Daphnia pulex: one gene and its partners. The protein of the gene in region 3 interacts with the protein of the main gene of each other region in a pairwise test. Links are inferred from orthologs where the notes say so. Each region holds a gene or a part of one and is shown on either strand. Other genes may lie near its edges.

Region 1 (5,788 bases), on a different chromosome or scaffold from region 3:
CCGCAACTTCCTTGCACTGGGGCAGCAGGTGGAGCAACAGGGAATGGATTATTTGCGACGCAGCAATATTGGAATGAATTCTGGCAACGAACTCCAGCTGGCTAAAAATTGAACAGATTCTTACAATAACCGTTTTTATTCCTCTGTCTAGAATTTAATATTCTCGCTTACCTTATTGACGATGCGCACGTCGATGAGGCCGGCACCGTCCGTATTGACAGGTGGGATATTGTTAGGGGGAGGTTGCGAATGTCCAGGTATGGGTGGGGGAGGGAGTGGTCCGGAGCCAGGTGGTGGAAGAGGAATATTTCCCGGTGCAGGATTGGCGCATTTCCCTACAGGAACGCACAAGCACTGACCAGACTGTTTTCCAGAAACATCTTCTTCGGGAATGTAAGGATTGGGTTTTAGAGCTGGATCTTTCTTCTGTTCACCAATAGGAGCTGAACCGGGGACAGCTTCTAGATCTACAAATAAAAACATATTAAATTAGGCTTATAGAATTCGTACTATCTCATAAACGAAAAATGGGAAATCAAATTATTAATTTACTGAGATAGCCGGCGAGAAGACCTAGACGAGTGTGGACCAACTCATCGTCAGTACCCAACGCATCTACAGACGTGTTGGGTAAATCTACAGGAACTGGCTCTTCCTCTTCCCCAAATGAAATTTGTGGCTTGGCTACCACCGACGACACAAAGACAACGAATACTAACGCAGCACTTACTTTCATTCTGTCTAAATAAATGATTATGAAAATGTTGTTGTTAATAATTTTTAAAAAAGATATTTAGCACTTAAAGTTGTCTTACCTCGAGTTCAAGTTCTCTTAGAAGAAACTTGTTGAATGATCTGACTCTGGCTGTTGCTTTATATACTGGCTGATTTATCCTCCAGCACACACTGTTAACACAAGAGACCAGCTAGTTACCAACTCCTGGAACCAATAGAAACTGGTTTTTCAGTTGGAGGGTCACGTGACTTTGTCGGGATTTCCCAAGGTGAGTGTACACGTTATTTTTTTTCCCTCTCGGCTCATCAGGTGATTTAATTTAGGTTGTTCAACCATGTGTGCGGTTCACTTATAAAGCCTTTGTTATCATCAACCGGATGTGCCAATAGCTAAATGACGAGTCATTTCCATATGGCATTTGCTTTACTATTTGTTGTAGTTGCATTAGGCTGCATGCGTATATTTCGAATCAATATTATCGCTTTATAGTTTGAGGTTCTCCGGTTTCCCCTCATCCTTCCCCAGTTTTTTCCTCAAGGCTATTTTTTGGAGAGAAAGCAGTCAGTCAAGCTCAAGGTCTTTTTTAGCTTCTGCTAACACACCTTGGCACCGCAAACCCAAGTGTAGAGCCATCAACCGGTCATCAGCAAAAAAAAAAAATTTGGCGGAATTGTTTTAAATTTAAGTTTAAAAAAAAATTTTGGGAGAGAATATATGAGCAATAGAGCAAAATTGTTCGTTAATTGCAAGATTAGATAAGTTTTGGGTTACCTGAATGAGCTGTATGAATTTCGACACACAATAGTTAATTCGTTTTGTAATCAAAATTTCCCATTCATTTGACACGTGCATAGAAAAAAATGTCGTTCTTTTATTGTATTCAGGGATAATGGAAAGGGAAATTAGGATACACGATACATGCATATACTAGCCAAAACTGCAATGTAATATGGAAAAACCCAACGTCACTATCGAGTTGTACCCAAAATGAAAATTTCCCAAACTAGAAATAACAAAATAACGGAATGCTTTTGATGTTCTGTAAGCATGTATATTATATAAGTTGGAAAACCCTTTCATGTGGATCTGTTTTGTTTCGGCCGGGACTTAGGCCATGCACGGAAATTTACAATTAGTACAATTAACAGAACATAACGTTATATTTAACGAGGTATTAGTGAAAACTTCCGCTATTAAACAGTTATTGTGTAAAACAATGAAACTTTAGGGATAATGAGTATTAAATTAGGAAAAATTTTACGGTGATTCCATTATAATTTCTTCTGATTTTAAATTACCCTAGTAACAAAAAGTGGTGATGTTGAATATTTTTGGGACTTTCGCTATACAATAAATTGTGATTTCTTGTTCCTTTCTGTAATAATGTTTAAACGCAATTTTATGCAAGAATAATCAAGAAAGATTCGACAATGGAATACGACGATATTGGAGTCCATTCAATTTCACGGTGACATCAAACAATGGAATTTATCATCCCTGTAATAAGGCTGTAACAAATTTTACATGTTTTGGGGCCGATGGCTCGCGTGTTGCCCTCATGCGCATTTTCTTCTCCACCAGATTTGATCCTACTGACTGCCGGCCTCGCCTGTTACACAATGTAATAAACATTTGTGACAATTGGGTGCAGTTTTACGACATATACTACATGTTTTTTTCCTAACGCGAAAATCAACGAAATTTTAGTTGTCATATTCATATACTCATGACTCATGTTGGCGATGTGCCGATTGGCCGATCTGATTCTGTGTTATGTTATTCCTCGACCAAAAAAGAAAAATAATAATGATTGGCATCGCTGTTTTGGCCGATGCGAGCTGGAATCGGCTGAAATAGTATGAAGTGCTTGTGGGATGGATTGATCGAAATATAATTAAACCTTCTATGACGTGAAATTATAAGAAGATACTCAACTTCTTTTTAACATTCTTGCAACATTAGTGTATTGTGTCAAAATGGCCAAAAGAGGACTGTCTCGTAAAGAACTCGAAGAAATCAAGAAGCGCGAAGAAATTGAAGCTGCTGCTGAGGTGATACACATTTGTTTGGAGAAGCTGAACTTCAAATAATTCAATATTATTGTTCATTGGATTTATTATTAGGTATTTGAGGAGTTTGTAGCCACATTTCAAGAAGATGCCAGCAAAGTCAGTAAAGTTTGGGTCAAAGCGGGTACCTATGATGCTGGTCAAAGAAGTAACAGATTACACATTTAATGCTATAATATAGCCATTTTTCTTAATATTTTCATTTTAATTTGCAGAGGAAGATGCCAAAGATAAAGGCAAATTGTATAAACCAACATCTAAATTGGCGAGCTTAGCAGAATCTTTCTCCACAAGATCCAAGGCAAATGAATCTAAGGAATCTAAAGAATCAAAAGATAAAAGTTTACAAAAAAAGGAGAAGAAAAAGAGCAATCTTGAGATGTTCAAAGAGGAACTCAGAGTGTAAAACTAGATTATTCTCTTATTTAAAAAATAATGTTACAATTAAATTTTCTTACAGTATCCAAGAAGAAAGAGAGGAACGACACAAAGTTAAAGCTCACTTGAAACCAAGTCGCTTTGAGCCTGTCAATGTGAGTTCTCCAAGTACTAGCAAAAGCTCTCTTGCTCTTGGATCAATCTTGATAGGTATGTAAATTGTAATTGCATTTTGTAGCAAATTTGTCACACTTTTTTTGTTTCAGAAGAAAAGACAGGATCATTTGATGTAGGAGATCCCAATACCACTAACATTTATTTAGGCAATATCAACCCTAAGGCAAGTTTTAAATAAATCATGTTTTTATCAACTTTATTAACATAAATTTAATGTCCCTTGCAGATGACAGAACAACAATTGATGGACACATTTGGAAAATATGGACCTTTAGCCAGCGTAAAAATCATGTGGCCTCGAACTGAGGAAGAGAAAGCAAGGAATCGAAATTGCGGATTCGTAGCCTTTATGTGCCGAAAAGACGCAGAGAGAGCGATGAAAAAATTAAACGGTTTGACAGTTTATATTCCGTTTTTTGCATCGATGCATTTATATCAAATGTTTATTTTTCAACAGGTAAAGATATTCTGTCTTTTGAAATGAAACTCGGATGGGGGAAGGCCTTGCCAATTCCTGCTCGACCGATTTACATACCGCCAGCATTACTTGAAAAAACGCTTCCTCCACCACCAACCGGCTTGCCTTTTAATGCAATACCCTCCCCACAAGATATTGATCAGGTATGGCTGGTATGCAGTACCTTAGATGTTCTTTCAAACATAATTGAAATTAATATTTCCCTTGTCACAGATCCCGCCACCCGGAACACCCTACCCAACACACGGCGAGGCGTTGGAGAACTTCAACAAGGTATTGGGGGATGGGCTAAGCTATTTCAATCAACCCAGCAATATGACTGACACAAGACTCGAGACTTTTTATCCGCCTGTTCCGGCATTGTTACTCATGGTCGGCGGATAAAAAGAAGCGAGTGCTTTGTGTGCGGTCGCTTCGTTGGGAGGTCTCATCTTTTCTATTTGTGTTCTTCGGCGGAAAGCGATGAAACCCAGCCAAAAATTTGTTTTCATGCGTTGCATTCGTTTGGCTAGTGAAGACCGTTGTTCGTGTCTCACTGCTCTCATACTATTGTGTGTTTGGAAATATGTTGATGTTTCACCCGGGTTTGCTGCTTCTCTCGCAGATTATATCCAGGGCTGTTGTCAAAGTGGTTATCCCTACAGACAGGTATGTAACAAAGATCAAGCCTCATAATACCTTGAAGCTGCGCGGCTGTGTGACATTACCCTGCTCCCTCCGAGCCCCAGGGAGTATACACGTTTTGTCACGAAGGAACAACACATTGTTCTTTTCATTCTTCCAATGCGACTATTCCTTAAGTCTTATTTAATTCCTTTGTAAACTTTTAACTAACACTCGGAATGCTTGACCAAAAAAAAAAAGAAAGAAATTTTGCTTTTTCAATTGACCCACTTCTTTTAAATCATCGAACAAAATTTTTTAAGTCGGTAGCTAATCTTAACATTTTCATTTTTATCACCACGTAAATCTGTACGATTGACATTTGTGCGTGTCATACGTATGTTGAACTTGGTTTTCTGGAACTGGCGTACACAGAAATTTGTTGTGTTTGATTCATCGAATGATCGAATCTGTTGTTCGAGAGGGCCCAATGCTTGAGGCCATGGTGATGAACAAGGAAATTGATAACCAGCAATTCAGGTACCTAAATTGTCTTTTCTAAAAATGTTGTTGGATAGTAATTATTATTTCTTTTTTACTTTTGCAATCAGGTTTCTATTTGAAAACCGGAGTCCAGCTCACATTTACTATCGCTGGAAATTGTTCTCAATCCTACAAGGCGAGTCTGGTAATGTGTGGTCCACAGAAGACTTTCGCATGTTTAAAGGTAAAATTTCTTTTTATTCTGTAAATTATCCAGCGCTCATTTTTAAAAATTAATAGGCGGTTCCATCTGGAAACCCCCGTCTATGAACCCGTTTTCTGAGGGCATGCCAGACGAACTTTTCTCGTCCGACGAGGAAGATGATGAGAGTCGCCGACGATCGCTCAGCAAATCGTATTTACTACAATTATTTTTTCTAATTCATTAAGCAATTCTAATTTACGTTCAAATCCATAGTCAAAAGAAACGACTAGAATTGATGTTGAGAAAATTGACTCCTGAAAAATCCAAAGTAGCGGAAGCTATGATTTTTTGCATCGAGCACGCCGAAGCTTACGAGGAAATCATCGATTTCGTTACCGAGTCACTCAATAGTGTCAAAACCTATATTCCTCAAAAGGTAATTTAAGTCGTGACTTCCAAGTTGGAAGAAACCTACTTAATTTAATCTTGTTTTTGTTTTTTTCAGTTGGGAAGATTTTTTTTGGTATCAGACGTCCTTTACAACTCGTCTGCAAAGGCGGTCAATGCTTCCAGTTTCCGTTCGGGATTCCAGTCACACATGGTGGAAATAGTCAATTATATGCATCAAGCGTACGAGGCGACCGAGAGCCGATTGAAAG
Region 2 (5,799 bases), on a different chromosome or scaffold from region 3:
ACTGAACTCATGAAAAATGGTAGTTTACTGGAATTCCTCCAGGGTAAAGGACGTAACCTGAAACTAGCACAACTAATCGACATGGCCGCACAAATTGCTTCTGGCATGGCCTACCTCGAGTCGCAGAACTACATTCATCGTGATTTGGCCGCTCGCAACGTTTTAGTTGGAGAGAATAACATCGTCAAAATTGCCGATTTCGGTTTGGCGCGTATTATCAAGGAAGACGAGTACGAAGCTCGTGTGGGCGCTCGGTTCCCCATCAAGTGGACCGCACCTGAAGCAGCCAACTACAGCAAGTTCTCTATCAAGTCAGACGTCTGGTCTTTCGGAATCCTTCTTACTGAACTCATTACTTACGGACGCATTCCCTATCCTGGTGAGTCGAGTCAATTTGGTTGAACTCATTTTTCCAGTTTGCTAATCAATCAACATTTCGGCTAGGTATGACCAATGCTGAGGTGCTCCACCAGGTTGAGCACGGGTACAGGATGCCGGCACCTCCTAGTTGCCCACCTGCTCTCTATGAAATTATGTTGGAAACATGGCACAAAGACCCTATGAAACGGCCTACATTCGAGACGCTTCAATGGAAACTAGAGGACTTTTTTACCATTGAAGGGTCTGAATACAAAGAAGCCGCTGTTGCCTACTAGATCCGCTGCGGTTCCCTATTGAGCCAAAAGACTGGTGAACGATTAACCCACTCAATGTCATACACCCACAACACGTACTACACAAACAGCAATCGCGCACACTAGTTCTCCTTTTGTCTTGATTGACTTGGACTGCCTCTTAAAAAAACAACAACAAGGTTCAATGAAGAAAAGAAAAACGCAACGGTGCTCAGGCGTGTCTATTATTATTATTAATGGCATTACTTAAGAACTACTCCCCATATCCCAAGTAATATTTGATACCGTGTAAACCGCAACACACAATCACATTTTATTTTTATCTGGTTGGGATTTTTAGAAATGAAAAAAAGAGTGCATTCAAAATAATCATTATTTGATTATGTTCTCCCTTTTTCTTTTCTGTTTCTTTGCTCGTCAGTTTATTTAGCTTGGTTTGGCTCATTTTTAGCCTAACCGTTATGTACATTTCCATCCCGAGCATCCAATTGCTGTTGATGTGTATGTGGATGTGTGCGCTTCCACCCGATGTTTATCGTCACAGTTCTTTCTCTCTTTTTTTATGATTTAAATTGCCCTCGTCTCCTTATTATGATTTTTTTTGTTTCCCGTCAGTATCTCGTCTTCATTCGAACTTTACAGTCGTCTAGACTTTGTGTTTTCATCATTATCCCCTCTTGAATCCTTGATTTCCAGGAACAATTGGACAATAAAGCACTTGTTTTTTCTTTTAAATTGCAGTCGTTTGGTTGTCATTGTGCGCCAAAGTAGAATTCGGCCGTGGAACGAACCAAAGAGCTTACAACATGGTATTCATTCTGTCCTTAATTATGTCCTTATAGAAACAGTAGGGGAAAGAAAAAACGGGGCGTTTGTGGTTGCGTCGACACCGATTGTAGTAGATTTATTGTGAGCAAAGTTTTTATTTTCACCTTGGAACAATCGAAATCAGGACGCAATAATTTGATCAGGAATTGGAATGGTTGTGTGTGTCCAAATACTGGAAATTCGAACGTAAACCAGTTGAGATAACGTCTTTAGATTGAATAGCAGATGAGTCAAACTGACCGTTGACTTTCTGGTTTACGATTCCCATACAAGTCCGTAAAACATTATCGCCTCTGCTGGTTTTTGAACTCATGAGCAGTGGGAGGAGTCGAGTTTACAATTGTCATTGACCTGAGAACAAAAAGAAGAAAGATGGGCTTCGTTGTGGGATTTTGTCGTGACGCTGGGGCCGGTTCTTTTAGGAAAATTAATAAATAAAGAAGCAGTGCCATCTAATATTCGTGAACTGAAATACCGTTGGTTTCAGGATTTGTCAAAAAATTATTTCAAAGGTAAAATTTAGGTGGCGATTTCAGTAGAAGGAAGAATTCGCGACTGTTCCACATATGCCAATTCTTTCATGTAAACAGAGCGCGACCATGTTCAGGATCGCGCAACCTCTCGCCAATTTTCATCTCCAATGGCGGTGAGGCAAACGATGGTCTCCTGTTCCAATTATATTACTATGTAAAAAAAAGGAAAAAACTAGTACCCAAAAACCCTGCCGACGCTGGGAAGGGCTAGTGGGTGTTTCCATGAGAAATAAACTTGCCAAGTCATCAGCCTCAATTAACCACTATCGTTATGAAGGGGAAAAAAACGACTGATAATTATCGTCATTAGTTATCTAGAAAATGGCCAGTGTGGTTGTAGAATTGTGGAATTCCAGCTTGGGATTTTCCACTGGAACTCAATTGCAAACAAACTGGTGAAATAACTTCCTGCAACTAGGACATTTTTATCTAATCACCCTCATCCCATTTAACTAATAACGCTATTCCAAAACACAAAACAAGTGACCGAAATTCAGTCGTGACTTTTTCACCTGTGGAGCAAAGTAAATTACATGTGGCCTTCTTAAATGAGTGGTGAAGTCGGACTATCGAAAACCGATTGATGTGATGGGCCTACATGACACGCAACAGGATAGATAATTATAATTGACGTGATTTATCAATGATTTTTTGAAGCCATAGTGCCATACAAACAAGCAATGATAGCAAAGCCAAGCAAAGCTGATTACGAAACCCATTCAGTGTGACAACTGTGACACCTTTATGTTATATTTCAAATGAGTCTGTTAGATTGTGGTACCTATTTAAATAGATTCTTGTCATTGACATGTTAGATTGTCGTGGTTTAACAATTATACGACCACATCATTTGGAAATACGAAAAAAATTCTTGCACGACTTTGGCCGTTACTTAGCGGTGAACTTTAAATTAGTGATTGTCTTATCATTCATCATAATCAAACCTCTAGATTTTAGATTAATTTATGGTTACTAAAGGTTTTGTAACTTTTGTTGTTGGCACTCGGCAATGAAAAGGTTTTTAAACAAATGAAAGTGAAAGTGAATTACGATTTATAAATAAAGACCGAGCATTGCCACATTGCCAAGAACGAATCAAAATGCGAGTTAATCGATAAATTAAATTTTTCATTAATTTGACAATGTCGCGTCAGCCATCTTGGCGTCTCATCGCGTCGGGCAATAATTCGGCTCTCATCATTTCAATGTGCGCAAAGTTAGACGCATTCTATTTCTGACATTACGTGTTCGGTTAATTTCTGTCCGATTGTCCACGATTTCAATTGAATTTGACCATATTTTGCTATAAGTCATGCCGAGTAACGCTCATTCAACGGGTGCCAATACTACACCTCTGGGCAGGGTCAATCCAGCTCTCACCGGTGGAAGAAGACAAGCAACTTCTTCGCTTTTAAACCCGAATTATCTGAATTCGGATGATGAAGGCTCACACGGAAGCTACGAGCAAAAATATGAGCCAAAGTACGAAACAAAATACGAATCCAAATTTGATCAGCCATCTACAACTCCCAGCTACAGCTACCCCACATCATCTTCGTCCACTTCTGCCAGTGCCAACACCTGGAAACGTGGACTGGAAGATAGCAACAACTCAGATGACAATTCACTCGGTGGAGAGAAAAAGAAGAAGAGGCGTTCACGCTGGGGTGGAGATGAGAAAGAAAAGACCTTCATTCCGGGCATGCCAACTGTTTTACCAGCAAACTTGACAAAGGACCAGGAGGAGGCGTATCTAGGTAATAGTTCTGTGCATCTGTGTAACTTAATTTTTGAATATTGTGCATTCTCATCACTTGCGTACAGGAGTGCATATTCTGTCTTGTATGAGTGTATTAACTGATTCATCATAATATTGTGTGTATTGACTTGTGATTTTTCAGTCCAATTCAAGATTGAGGAGATAACACGGAAACTGAGGACTGGTGATTTAGGCATTGCTCCCAATCCAGAAGAAAGGTTTGATATATAAAGCCAATACTAATTCGTTTCTTTCCCAATTTTTCATAGTTAATCAAAATTAAATTGTTTATATTTCAATCTTTTTTTTTTTTAATTTGTCAGCTAGGCATAAAACAATTCATTCTTTTTTATCCATTGATTGATCTATATCCATTCCCTCCAAAGACCTTTCAGGTTCTTACAAATGAGCCTAGGTTGTGATGATTAATTGGTTGACATTTTAATCTTTTTTTCACCACAAACCGAAATCGTACTAATGCCGTCTGTTAGGTTCAGATGTAGGGAGCCTATAATTTGATTTTTTGAACCTTTACAGGACGTGCATTTATTTTCAAAGAAATATTCTAACGTTCAATATAGGCAATTTATACTTGCCATTTTTTAAAATTGCTTTTTATCTCGATTTTTCTCATTGCTCAGCTGGACGGATGGATAAAATTTCAGAACATTTAATCAATTGCAAAAATAATAACTTAATCAATTTACAATTATCCTCGTCTAAATTCAGAATAAGAAAAGATAGCTCATTTTCGTATTCCCTTTGTTCTTTTTTTCCTCCTTCATTTTCAGATCGCCATCACCGGAACCAATTTACGGGACGGATGGTAAAAGGCTGAACACCCGGGAGTACCGGATGCGTCGTAAGCTAGAAGAAGAGCGCCACTCCATGATCACCAAGATGATTTCCTTAAATGCTGACTTCAAACCCCCTGTAGACTACAAGTAAGATCATTTATCTTAGTTACCATGTCTGCCCTTACTTATCACTTTCCTTGTATTATTAGACCCCCTATGACGCGCGTCTCCGATAAAGTCATGATTCCGCAAGAGGAGCATCCGGAAATCAATTTTGTGGGGCTGCTGATTGGTCCACGTGGAAACACTTTAAAATGTAAGTTTTTTGTTTATTTATTTAACCGTAACATAACATTAAACCCGATCGTTATATTTTACCAGCTATGGAAAAAGACACTGGAGCTAAGATTATAATTCGAGGCAAAGGATCAGTCAAAGAAGGAAAAGTAGGTAAGCCTTTGCCAGGCGAAGATGAACCTCTGCATGCCTATGTAACCGCCAATAGTATGGAAGCCATTAAAAAAGCTGTCGATCGAGTGAGTATTTCCATCTTGAAGTAGAAAAAAGAACAATCAATGACGCTGTTTTTGAATTGACAGATTAGAAAGATCATTAAGGAAGCTGTTGAGGTACCAGAGGATCAAAACGATTTACGGAAAATGCAGCTACGAGAATTGGCCATGTTGAATGGAACGTTCCGCGAAGGCGAGTTTGGTCCACGGTGTTCAAACTGCGGTGCCACTACTCACAAAGCATGGCAATGTCCCGACAAGCCTAACGTCACGAACACCGTCATTTGCAACAACTGCGGAGGAACCGGTCATATTGCTCGAGATTGTCGAACTCCCCGTAATTCAGCTAATGCTGATGGAGCACCAGGAAATAAGATTGATGAAGAGGTAAATTTTGCAAAGCTTTAACGCAATCGAACATTTACTCATCTCCTACATTCTTTTAACAGTACATGTCTTTGATGGCCGAATTGGGAGAGGGTCCTCCACCGAAGAGTGAAGGATCGGGAAGCGGTACACGTTCAAGTTATCATGGAAGCTCTGGATTGTTTGATCGACAACAAGGACAACCTAGGGCCATCACTGCTGGTCCATCCATGGGTGGTGGTCGAGGTGGTGGTGGCGGCCCTCCACGTGGTCCTGGACCAAATCAACAACAAGGAGCTGCCAATCAATGGGGTCCTCCACAAAGCTATGGTCCGCCGGGTCCTTGGGGCACTCCGATGGGCGGTGGAT
Region 3 (5,284 bases):
GACTGGCGACTTGTGGTGGGAGGTTTGAAAAGAATTTGCGGAACTTGCCTCCAGAGACGTTGATGTGTCCTATTCTATTCCTATAGGATCATTGAACTGCCTCGAACCAGTTTATCCTTGAACTCCGGACATTTTACCCCACTAAAAACATGTACTCACCCTCACCCTCTTCAAGAAAAAGTTATCTACCCATTTTATGATATGATGACATTTATTTTTTTTTATTTTTTTTTGTAATCCTGCGGCTCATGAACCACAACACATTGCAACATACTAACATATCTTTAAAACAGGCGGTGACGCTTTCGAATTTATTATACAGCACACGGTCACGAAAAATAATGCATAACAGGCCGTATTTACTGAAATGCTATGCTTTATAAGCACGTACGTTATTGAGCATTTGAGCTATATTAAATGTCAAAATATGAGGTCAATAATAATGGCAATGACAGCTGACCTTGTTCTCGATCATGTTGAGACATGAACGATTCACGAAGAATTCTTTCAACATTATGATATCATAGGAATTTTGAGGCAAGAAGAGGTTCCCACTTTGCGTAGCTATTTCGAAGAACTACATATACTCATGGTTCTTGGAAACCGGATTATACTATTTAAAAAATACGTTAACGTCGATAGATCGTCCCCTATAAAATATTAACCTCATTTTTATATGAAAGTGGTTTAACCTACTGAATGTCACTTAAAAAACACTTAAGAAAAGAACCAATTTTCATGAAATTTTTTATGATTTGGAAACGGGATATATATATGGAAACCTACCGCCAAGTTTCCGAATTCAAATCTATACTTTTTTTATTACTAAATTCTAAGCATCCACTAGAAGTCTATTACTGATTTGCAGCTACGCTTGACAACTCAAATTTTAAAAAGTAGAATCTACCTTTTGATGAAAAATGAATGTAGTCGTGAAAATCAAAGTAAAGTAAATCTATTTTACACTTTGAATGTAGAACCTTGCTTGATCAACACATTTTTGTGCAATTCAATTATTTGTTCTGGTGTGATATTGCGAGGACACGCTAGCTTGTGAAGTTAGAATTTGTTTTGCTTCGTAGTAGTTTAAATTCATCTCTCTTCATCCCTTTTAAGGAATCAATCTTATTTCCTAGAACGAGAGAAAGGTTTTTCGTCCTAAAGGTCAAATGCTTCCAACTTTTGGGAACAACGCCATACCATGTAATTAAATTCAATTACTTTCGATTCGTAAAATTTATTTTTCAATACGTGTTCAATCATTCAGCTCCATCTTGAGAAATCTTTCCACATCATAGAATCCGGCTTTCACCTGCCGACCAGCAAAGAATCGGCCGTTGAGATCAATTACGGCTACAAAAAGAAACGACAGTTAACAATTTTTAACAGACCTGTGTTATTGTTCAACTGTAGTTAATTACCTTTGATGGCAGCTTCCATTCGTTTAAATTCAACAAAAATCCGTACAGCTTCCTCTTCCTCGGCGTTAGGTACCTCGAAAATAACAACTTTATTCACATCCCCGTATTTTGTCTGACATTCCTCGCGTACTTCGGGTTCCAAATCAGAATCCACTTCACCAGGGCCAACCATATTCTAATGAAAGGGGAAACAAACAAACAACAGAATTTGAAATGAGGACCGTGAAAATGATTGACCTATGACATTACCCTCAGATAAATCACTTTTGAAGGATTCTTCATGATATCAGCAATCGTTAATTCCGCTTTGGGAGCAGCTGTTGGCGACACAACAGGTGGCGGAGGAGGCATAATTTCTTTTTCATTGATAATACGTCCACCTCGCTTGCTTGTTTTTTCCACTTGTAAGGCAGCTGCAATACCTTGCTGTTGTCGTCCAAGTCCCTGACCTTCTTTGAATCCATATTTTGCCATGATCTTAGCAGCAACACCAAGAGCTCCAACCCCACTTCCAGTAGAGGAGAGAGAAGGATGAGATGGCGATGAGTTGTCTTGTAATGATGGAGGTGGGGCAATGGCAACTCCACCAGAAGTAGAGGACTTCTTCACCATTGGTTCCTCTTCCTCATCATGTAAACGTCCAGCAAAACCTGATCCTACAGCAGATGAGGACCTAAAACATGAAATGGTTATGTAATCAGTTTCTATCATCACCATATTTATTAGGCAGCTCCCAGTCCCATTATATACCTGTCTCTGGTTTTAATATCTCGATCATCCCTAGGCTTCCTTTTCTTTTCAGCTTCTTCTATTTCAATTTCAATCCCTCGTCGTTCCTTTCTCTCTAAACAAAAAACAAAAAAAAAAACAAAAATTATTGTATTCAGATTTTTCATTTTCTATAAAAGGTGCTGTGTACCCCTAATGATTTTGTCATAGTCAGTAGGATGCAGTGGATCATACTCTAGATTTGGGTCCCATTCCAATTCAGCAAAGAGTGAGGATCTCTCTTGTTTAGGAACAATAGTTGTCAAGAGTTGGGGTGTCTGATGAATCAGATTTTTGGTCATTTCAGGTTCAGTTTTTATCTGTGATTCAGTAGCTGTGAGGCAGGGTGGTATTACAGGATGGATAGCTCTTCGGATACCTTCACGTTTTGGCTAGGAAAAACAAATCTTTCTTCATAATCTATGAGTAACAAATGAAATGTAAATTGTAGGATACCTGTGTAATCATAGCTTTCTTTAAGTGCATCTGCGAATGTAAAAGCTTGATTCCTGACGACCATCCGGTGACAGATTTAGCTTTATTTTCGTCGATATCATCGTAAAGAGACATTTTCACAGCAAAGTAATTTCTTATATCCGTTGAATTAGTTGTCGTTCAAATCGTTTTTAAACAGAGCTCAGGACGCCTTCGCAGTAACATACACAAGAAATAAAAATAGACGACGAATGCAAATTGTACTGTATTTTTTTATGTTTTGATGTATTCATCTCATGAAAGGTGAAGGTGACTACTAAACAGCTACCTAAATCTGCAGTGAGGAACCAGGGGGCAGGGGCATGCCAGGGCCCAGCAGGGCCAGGGCCCAGGGGTGGCCAGGGGTGGCCAGGCACTACAGATACAGCGATACTACCCTGTTTCTACTTATAAATAATTGAATTGTTTTTTTGTCAATTAAACACCTTGCTTTTCGGATACGGAATAGAAAATACGGAGCTTCTCCCAAAAAATTGCCTCCTTGCGCATATCGTTGATTTTTGATTGTTTTGGGACAGGAATATTTTTGGGTCGGCCCTTTTACGAGTTACGACACCTCCAAATGTCGCCACAGTTGTGTGCCGTTAATTGTATGCGTATCTATATTATCGAGCGGACGGACTTGTTATAAGAGGTGTCTGTGACGAAGAATCAGTGACGAGAAAGAATAAAGTTATTTATATCGCAAATTCCAACAATTGGTTTGTGAGAAGTCACTGTTTTTCTGCAATAAAACTCAACGTGGCTACATCTTGCATCTGAACTTTCTGTAGCACCGAACAATAATTATTTTAATACTATTTTTAAATTAACTGAATTTAACCGAATCTTTAACGCTTCTTTTAAGAATCATTAATAATGATGCAGACACGTGTATTACTTCTTGAAAACCGGTAGCTATTAAACTTAAGCCGGGCGGAGATTACCGCCTTCGTTAGAGAAAACGAGACGACTTCTCCGTAGAAGAAACAGAAAGAGAACAATTAAAATCACGGAGAAGGAAAAGAAAGAAGAAAAGCGGCTGAGGAAAAGTTCTAAAAACGTGATGTAAGCTATTGTAGCTGAATTTGAAAGGAAATCTTGGGACGGTAGGGAGAGACATCGATTCCGAGTTACGACTAGATCATGGGCGTTTCGTATGAGTTAACCCAATGCTAGACAATTATAAACACGTAAATAGAACAATCAACGCTCGTAAACTATGAAGAATGGAGGAATGTATCTGTTATCGAAACATATTTTGCTGTGTTACGTCGTTTTCAAATTCAGACCAGGCGTCGTTCAGTTCCATAAAAATCATTTTTGCTATTTTCTCGTTGTCAGTTCCAGACTGTGTGATAATACATTCGAATTAAAGGCAACTTTTCTTACTAAATGTAAATGACGTGATAAATTTTACCAACCTGTTTGTCTGGATGCACTGCCAAGCAAGCCTTACGATACATTTTCTTGACATCCGTGTGCGACACTAGCTGGTGCATCCCCACGTCTTGCCATTTAGTGCCTTCCCAGAGAACGGTATGGAGCGAGCAGAGTAAAGCCCTGATATTACGCTGCTTTCCCTCTGTCCATTCCATAATCTGTCAAGATTAAACAAACAACAGTTAGTTCATAATTTTATCCGTAGTAAACACATTTTGTAAAATACTAACCTTCATTTTATCTGGATCTATATCTTTGGCCAATTCTTCCTTGCGCATAGCGTTGATTGTTTTGGGACCAGAATCTTTTTTGGTGCTACTAAAATCAAACCCCTGGGTTCCCAGCAAATCCCCAAACATATCGCCAGCAACTTTAGGTCTAGGTAAGCCACCACCTCCTTTGGCTGAAATTTAAAGAAATACCGCATAATATTTAAAACACTGTTTTTAAATCTTTGATTAAGGAAAAATTACTATAATCACTACGGCCAAAAACAGAGTCAAAGTTTGTTCTAGAGTAATCAGGTTGCCCTTCGCCGGGTGTTTTGACGGGCTGCTGCATAGAAGTACTTGTTGATGTGGAAGAATTGGAGACTGGGTTTGACCGACTGGCCTGTTGTGGTATAGTATTCGTATTCGACCACATTGTTGGTGGCTTATGAAGCGGTGATCCACTTAACGAAGTTGACGGACTCGTCAAAGACGTGCCAGCAGCCACTGTGGGGAAATTCGAGAAGCCGGTAGGTGGATTCGCCAACCCTTATTAGATGAACAATATAAATAATAAATTTATTAAGAAAATAATTAAGAATTATTTGATGAAATATTATCAAGACGAAATTTGACTAGCGTATTATGGTCGTAATAAAGTGAATCGCTGAAGGAAAATAACAATACCGATATTCATAGGCGGAATGGGTTTCACAGATGACCCCCACGTTGGAGTTCTAGTCGCATTGGAATTTGCCGTTCCAGCAAGCCCAATTAAGTTCCCAAAATCAGCAAGTGGGTCCTTTGCTTTAGCTTCCAAATTAGGAGTGCTCGAATTGCGAGGAATACTGGGTAGTGTCATAGGGCGAGATCCACTAGTCGGTGTCTGTTTAAGGATTGAATCCCAGTTACCCATTAGAGATTCGTCAGACGGTTGAGATTGCTGAACAGTGGCGAAATTGCCAATGC
Region 4 (5,802 bases), on a different chromosome or scaffold from region 3:
ATTCACAAGCAACGTACTCGGCGTAAGAGCCGCTGGCTCCGGAAAAGAAAACGCGATCACCTTCCTGCAATAGAAAAGAAGAAATTGTAGCACTTTCTCTTCAAACTATTTCTTGAGTATTTGGATGATTTCAAATCATTGAACCTGTTCCTTTGGAAGATTATTTTAAAAAGGACGACTAACCTTGAGTGTGTCAACTTTGGAGCCAACTTTTTCAATAGTTCCAGAACCATCACGTCCAGGGATGTAAGGCAGAGTTGGCAATTGAGCAAATAATCCCATTCTAATGTATGTGTCAACTGGATTAACACCAGCTGAACCAACCCTAATCAAAACCTAAACATAGCAACTTTAGAACAGTCGTGTCAATTGAAGCAAGTGAACAAATAAAAAACCTGGGTTTCAGAATGAACAGGAATCGGAACATCAGACTCTACTTTCAAGACTTCTGGTCCTCCAAATGTGTGCACACGTACAGCCTTCATTGCCAGTCCCTGAAAATAAAACAACAATAAAAAAATCATTATTTTAATGTTCATAATCTCTACATGATTTTGTCCATTTTTCTGTATACCCTAGTTAATACAAAGAAGTTTCTCGAGTTCATTGACACATATTTAGTTAAGGGCTCGGTCGAAAGTTCGTTGCATCTTTCATTTTACAGTTTACCTTCACTGGATAATTTACAGTTTACCTTCACTGGATAACTGCTTGCTGGCTTTCTCTTATCTAATCAAGCAGCACCTCTAGTTTTATTCAATAAGATATCTGTTAATAACATCAACAAGTTCAGACGACATAGAGGGCGAAGGCTCCCAATTCAAAAAATGTCCGATCGCAATTTTTGCAAATCATAAACAGAAATGCAAATAAAAAAAGTAGTCTTTGGTCTCTTTAGAAGGAAAATATTAAATCAAAATGCGATGCTCTAGATACTGAGAGCGCGTAACGGAAATCGGGTTTCTTTGGAAATATTTTCTCCCGAAGTACGGGCACTTTTTCGGCCATTGAAATCAAGTTATTTAACAGCACACACGAAATTTCCAATTATTTTGTTAAGTAATATTACAGATTTTTAGCTATAGCGATAAAATTAACGGTAACAAAAAATTGTCTTACGGATTTTCAAAGGGAATTGTAACAGGGAAACGTAAACTGGACGGACGTAGGACGGAAGACCTGTTAATTCCTCGGCGGCAGGTAGCGATGTGAATGTCGGGAGCACCGAGAAAGAAGAAATAGGACATCAAATTTCCTAGCCTTTCTTTTTTTCTTTACTGCTATGTGTTCCGCTCAGTTCACGATTTCATGCCCGTTCTCTGCGTTCTACTTTCTCTCTACAACTTCCCTACTAATAAAGAACAATTTAAATTGAATTATTCCGGGAAGCATCAATGCATTTAAACAATAGCTTCTCCCCATATAGATTTTTATTTTCTATTTTTTCCTAGGCCTAATTTCATTAGACCAAACACATGATTAATAGAAATAAGACAAATTGAGTCCTTCAATGCGTATTGGATATTCAAACTAATTTATTTGAAATGAATTCAAAGTTTTTTATAATAAGGACGTCGTCAATGCTGAATTCTCGTGGAATATATAAACATAACGGTACTGAACGGAGGAAATATTCCGAATTGAGAAATCAACAACTTTTTCATTTAGGCTAACTTGTAACTTTCTAACCACCAAAACGAGGCAACCATGAAATTGTGATCGAGCAGTAAAATAATTACTATACTATTCAATTAGCAAATACCATATAGCTAGGGTCTGAAACGAATTAGAAGCAAAGCCATATACATTTATAGATCAGCGCCGCGCATAAAAATACGGCATCTGTAGACGAGTTATTGTCAACTTAAATTGTGGCAATAAACCAGTAGTTCCGCAGTTCGCCGCTTATTGGCTATGTGCCATCTAGCGATTTGAAATGAAACGCGTGCTTCCTTTGAATTTCACAAGTAGCGTCTGCAAGTGTGGAAATTGGTGGCCGAAGTTCCTGTCTGTGCTGTTGGAAAACGTGTATCCACGTCCTGTTCGTTTTTAAATATCGTAAAATAGATATTTTCACCTCTTATTATGTCGAAAAGACGCATAGAAGTTGATGACAAGCTCAGCAAGAAATCGTAAGTAAAATGCAATTATTCAAATTAGACAAATAAACCCGCGATTGTGTCATTTGTAATGCACATGAGCATGCTGTAGTGAAACATGTCGTGGTCGATAAGATTGTTAATGATTTTTCAAAAAACCATCATTCTTTTTTTAAATTATTATGCAATAAAATTAATTTGTTTTACTTTACAGCCGGGCAACTGGTGACAAAGGGAGTGAAGCAGATAAAGAAAAGTAAGCTTCTATTGTTATAAATATTTTTCTAAATTCATTTTCACTTTTTGATTTACAAATTCCCATATTAGTGTCTTAAGATTAAAATAATGCTTTGTCTTATTACTTTACAGAAATGTAACTGATTCTAAACCTGGTGGTTCATCTGCATCAATTCCAGTAACACCATCAAAGCCAGGGTTGACATTAAATCCCCTTACAGGATTGCCCTATACACAAAAGTACATCATAAATATTATTTTTTTTTAAACACTCGTTGATAATGATCATTTATATTGTTTTAGATACTATGACATTTATCGAAAGCGCATTGGCCTTCCAGTTTGGGAATACAGGGAGAAATTTTTTGAGCTTCTAGAAAACAACCAGGCAATAGTTTTAGTTGGAGAAACTGGATCGGGAAAAACTACTCAAATTCCTCAATGGTTAGGAAATATATTTAGTTTATCGTAGAGCAGTTTGTTGATAATTTGCTATTATTGTGACAGGTCGGCTGAGTTTGCGCGAAAACTAGGAGTTAAAAAAGGAGTCGCTTGTACTCAACCACGTCGAGTTGCTGCTATGTAATATTTTAAGTCAAATAGTTAATTTTCTCTTAATATAAAACCGTTTTTTTTTTGTAAGGTCTGTGGCTCAACGTGTAGCTGATGAAATGGACGTCGTTCTTGGTCAAGAAGTGGGTTACAGTATCCGTTTCGAAGACTGTTCTTCCCCCAAAACCGTACTCAAGTATGTTCTTTTGAGTAAAACGTTTTATTCGATCAAAACTATTCCCTATTTCATTTTTTAAAGGTACATGACAGACGGTATGTTGTTGCGTGAAGCCATGTCAGATCCACTGTTAGACTCGTATCAGCTAGTTTTATTGGACGAAGCTCACGAGCGTACACTTGCTACTGACATTCTTATGGGTGTTTTAAAGGAAGTCATTAAGCAAAGGCGTGATCTAAAGTTAATTATCATGTCTGCCACGCTTGACGCGGGAAAGTTTCAATCTTATTTTGATAACGCACCATTGATGAACGTGCCCGGTCGGACGCATCCTGTGGAGATCTTTTACACCCCAGAACCCGAGCGTGACTATCTTGAAGCAGCCATACGCACAGTCATGCAAATTCACATGTGTGAAGATATTGTCGGTGATGTTCTTCTCTTCCTCACTGGTCAAGAGGTTAGCTTTATATATTTGTAAAATTTGATTGAATTTCTCAGATTTCTCTGAACATGTTTATCTTATTCATGTACACATAGGAAATCGATGAAGCTTGCAAAAGGTTGAAACGTGAAATCGACAACCTTGGTCCTGAAGTGGGAGAAATGAAGTGTATTCCTTTGTACTCCACATTGCCACCAAATTTGCAACAGAGGATTTTTGAGGCTGCTCCCCCAGTTAGACCAAATGGAGCCATCGGTCGTAAAGTGGTTATTAGTACCAACATCGCCGAGACCTCGCTTACTATTGATGGTGTTGTTTTTGTTATTGACCCTGGTTTTGCCAAACAAAAGGTAACATTTAGGAATTTTCAAATGTGAGTTACATGGTTCAAATTTGTGGAATTGCTGTTTTCAGGTTTACAATCCTCGCATTCGCGTCGAGTCTTTACTCGTTTCTCCTATCAGCAAAGCATCAGCTCAGCAACGTGCTGGGCGTGCCGGGCGTACGCGACCAGGAAAATGTTTTCGTCTTTACACAGAAAAAGCCTACAAACAAGAGATGCAAGACAACACATATCCTGAAATTCTTCGCTCCAACTTGGGATCAGTCGTCATTAATCTTAAAAAATTAGGCATCGACGACCTTGTTCATTTTGATTTCATGGACCCTCCAGGTACCATATCAACATTTAAATAAATAAACCGCATGCTGATTTTTTTTTTTATTTTACAGCTCCCGAGACTTTGATGAGAGCTCTAGAGTTGCTGAATTATCTCGGTGCTTTAGACGACGATGGTAACATGACCGAGTTGGGAGCAATTATGGCTGAATTTCCCCTTGATCCTCAATTGGCCAAAATGTTGATTGCTTCTACGGAATTCAACTGCTCCAATGAGATCCTTTCGATTACGGCTATGCTTTCCGGTAAGCTTCACCTAACTTCTATTTCGGTTGATTTGGTTGTCTTTGTGTGGGATCTGAAAAATAGCTAGGGTGATTTGCCACGTTTTGCCTTTGTAGTTTAATCTAAAAGTTCTTACTTGTTATGGCAAAACGGCTAATCAACTGGTTTAAAAGGTGTGCTTTCTTTGAGAGCACAGATCATAGTAGAAACGATAGGCTGTTCTATTGTATCCTGTTAATAGGTGAACAGAACTAAACATGAAGGCGGGACGCGCGGGCTTCCCATTTTTTGGTCTCCTTGAAAAATGTGGGGCCCCACTTCCGTCTCTTTCTCTTTTTGTCTCCTCCCATTTTTTCCGCAACGTCTGAATGCAGTCCCACAAGTTTTTATGCGTCCACTGGAAGCCAAAAAGGCTGCTGACGAGGCCAAGATGCGCTTTGCTCATATTGACGGTGATCACTTGACTATGCTGAACGTCTATCACGCATTTAAACAAAATATGGAAGATCCTCAGGTATGCTCCCGTCTTTTTCTACGAGCTCGTTGATGGTAATCTCACATTTTTCTTTTTAAACAGTGGTGTTATGACAATTTTGTCAACTACCGGTCAATGAAATCGGCCGACAATGTGCGACAACAGCTTTCCCGTATTATGGATCGCTTCAATTTAAAACGCACATCCACCGAATTCACCTCAAAGGACTACTATGTTAATATTCGTAAAGCACTCATTAGCGGTTTCTTTATGCAGGTATAGAGACAAATAATTTCTTCTCTTTGTATTTAAGTACATCTTCGCGTTGTTCTTCCAGGTTGCCCATTTAGAACGAACGGGTCACTATCAAACTATTAAAGATAACCAAGTGGTACAACTTCACCCTTCGACTTGCTTGGATCACAAACCGGAATGGGTTATTTACAACGAATTTGTTTTGACCACTAAAAACTACATCAGAACTTGCACCGATGTCAAACGTAGAATATGAAAATCTGATTTTCTGATCCCCCAAATTAACACACTTCTGTTTTGTAGCGGAATGGCTTATCAAAGTTGCTCCTTCTTATTATGATATGAGCAATTTCCCAGAAGGACCGGCAAAGAGACAACTTGAACAGATAATCAACCGTCTAGAGAGTCGAGAATATCGGAATTGAAAACGGTAAGTTGACGTTATCCTTTGTTTCTATTCGATATCAGGAGTCAAACTGTTTTTTTAGGGCTTAAAAACACCTCTTACACTTACTTTGTAAAGTCGACCGATCATCAGTTTCCATGAATTGATTCGAGGCGAAGACATTCCGACTTCTTTCGCAAACATCAAAGCTTATTCAAATATTACATTTAATCGGAAATCAAGCAGTCGAATATTACAATTGTAATCTTTAA

The links.
Region 1: the proteins of splicing factor 45-like (region 3) and U2 snRNP-associated SURP motif-containing protein-like interact in binary tests that used the Homo sapiens proteins (3 or more experiments, as listed by UniProt). The link is inferred for Daphnia pulex from reciprocal best matches to the Homo sapiens genes RBM17 and U2SURP.
Region 2: the proteins of splicing factor 45-like (region 3) and splicing factor 1-like interact in binary tests that used the Homo sapiens proteins (3 or more experiments, as listed by UniProt). The link is inferred for Daphnia pulex from reciprocal best matches to the Homo sapiens genes RBM17 and SF1.
Region 4: the proteins of splicing factor 45-like (region 3) and putative pre-mRNA-splicing factor ATP-dependent RNA helicase PRP1 interact in binary tests that used the Homo sapiens proteins (3 or more experiments, as listed by UniProt). The link is inferred for Daphnia pulex from reciprocal best matches to the Homo sapiens genes RBM17 and DHX15.

The regions. Positions count from the first base shown.
Region 1 is NC_060023.1:3,570,156-3,575,943, forward strand, and holds the start of U2 snRNP-associated SURP motif-containing protein-like, read left to right. Parts: upstream 1-2,552; 5' UTR 2,553-2,712; coding exon 2,713-2,787; intron 2,788-2,859; coding exon 2,860-2,953; intron 2,954-3,020; coding exon 3,021-3,207; intron 3,208-3,265; coding exon 3,266-3,393; intron 3,394-3,449; coding exon 3,450-3,523; intron 3,524-3,586; coding exon 3,587-3,752; intron 3,753-3,817; coding exon 3,818-3,981; intron 3,982-4,051; coding exon 4,052-4,111; intron 4,112-4,442; coding exon 4,443-4,486; intron 4,487-4,876; coding exon 4,877-4,981; intron 4,982-5,052; coding exon 5,053-5,168; intron 5,169-5,224; coding exon 5,225-5,339; intron 5,340-5,402; coding exon 5,403-5,565; intron 5,566-5,634; coding exon 5,635-5,788. Other genes in the region: phenoloxidase-activating factor 2-like, read right to left, coding at 1-101, 172-467, 553-736.
Region 2 is NC_060027.1:2,738,601-2,744,399, forward strand, and holds the start of splicing factor 1-like, read left to right. Parts: upstream 1-2,306; 5' UTR 2,307-3,308; coding exon 3,309-3,753; intron 3,754-3,897; coding exon 3,898-3,973; intron 3,974-4,546; coding exon 4,547-4,699; intron 4,700-4,761; coding exon 4,762-4,868; intron 4,869-4,933; coding exon 4,934-5,088; intron 5,089-5,151; coding exon 5,152-5,451; intron 5,452-5,513; coding exon 5,514-5,799. Other genes in the region: tyrosine-protein kinase Src42A-like, read left to right, coding at 1-379, 445-656. UniProt on the Homo sapiens protein: Necessary for the ATP-dependent first step of spliceosome assembly. Binds to the intron branch point sequence (BPS) 5'-UACUAAC-3' of the pre-mRNA. May act as transcription repressor.
Region 3 is NC_060018.1:8,643,966-8,649,249, reverse strand, and holds splicing factor 45-like, read right to left. Parts: upstream 2,961-5,284; 5' UTR 2,760-2,960; coding exon 2,646-2,759; intron 2,582-2,645; coding exon 2,341-2,581; intron 2,266-2,340; coding exon 2,172-2,265; intron 2,095-2,171; coding exon 1,671-2,094; intron 1,597-1,670; coding exon 1,422-1,596; intron 1,354-1,421; coding exon 1,256-1,353; 3' UTR 1,222-1,255; exon of another isoform or gene 1,133-1,221; 3' UTR 940-1,132; downstream 1-939. Other genes in the region: cyclin-G-associated kinase-like, read right to left, coding at 3,910-4,014, 4,088-4,264, 4,337-4,509, 4,580-4,864, 5,003-5,284. UniProt on the Homo sapiens protein: Splice factor that binds to the single-stranded 3'AG at the exon/intron border and promotes its utilization in the second catalytic step. Involved in the regulation of alternative splicing and the utilization of cryptic splice sites.
Region 4 is NC_060017.1:1,845,479-1,851,280, reverse strand, and holds the start of putative pre-mRNA-splicing factor ATP-dependent RNA helicase PRP1, read left to right. Parts: upstream 1-1,959; 5' UTR 1,960-2,085; coding exon 2,086-2,132; intron 2,133-2,313; coding exon 2,314-2,355; intron 2,356-2,468; coding exon 2,469-2,576; intron 2,577-2,639; coding exon 2,640-2,780; intron 2,781-2,843; coding exon 2,844-2,918; intron 2,919-2,979; coding exon 2,980-3,084; intron 3,085-3,147; coding exon 3,148-3,526; intron 3,527-3,606; coding exon 3,607-3,861; intron 3,862-3,925; coding exon 3,926-4,184; intron 4,185-4,243; coding exon 4,244-4,435; intron 4,436-4,789; coding exon 4,790-4,929; intron 4,930-4,992; coding exon 4,993-5,166; intron 5,167-5,227; coding exon 5,228-5,390; intron 5,391-5,448; coding exon 5,449-5,570; 3' UTR 5,571-5,575; intron 5,576-5,633; 3' UTR 5,634-5,802. Other genes in the region: quinone oxidoreductase-like, read right to left, coding at 1-64, 184-336, 396-494, 575-607.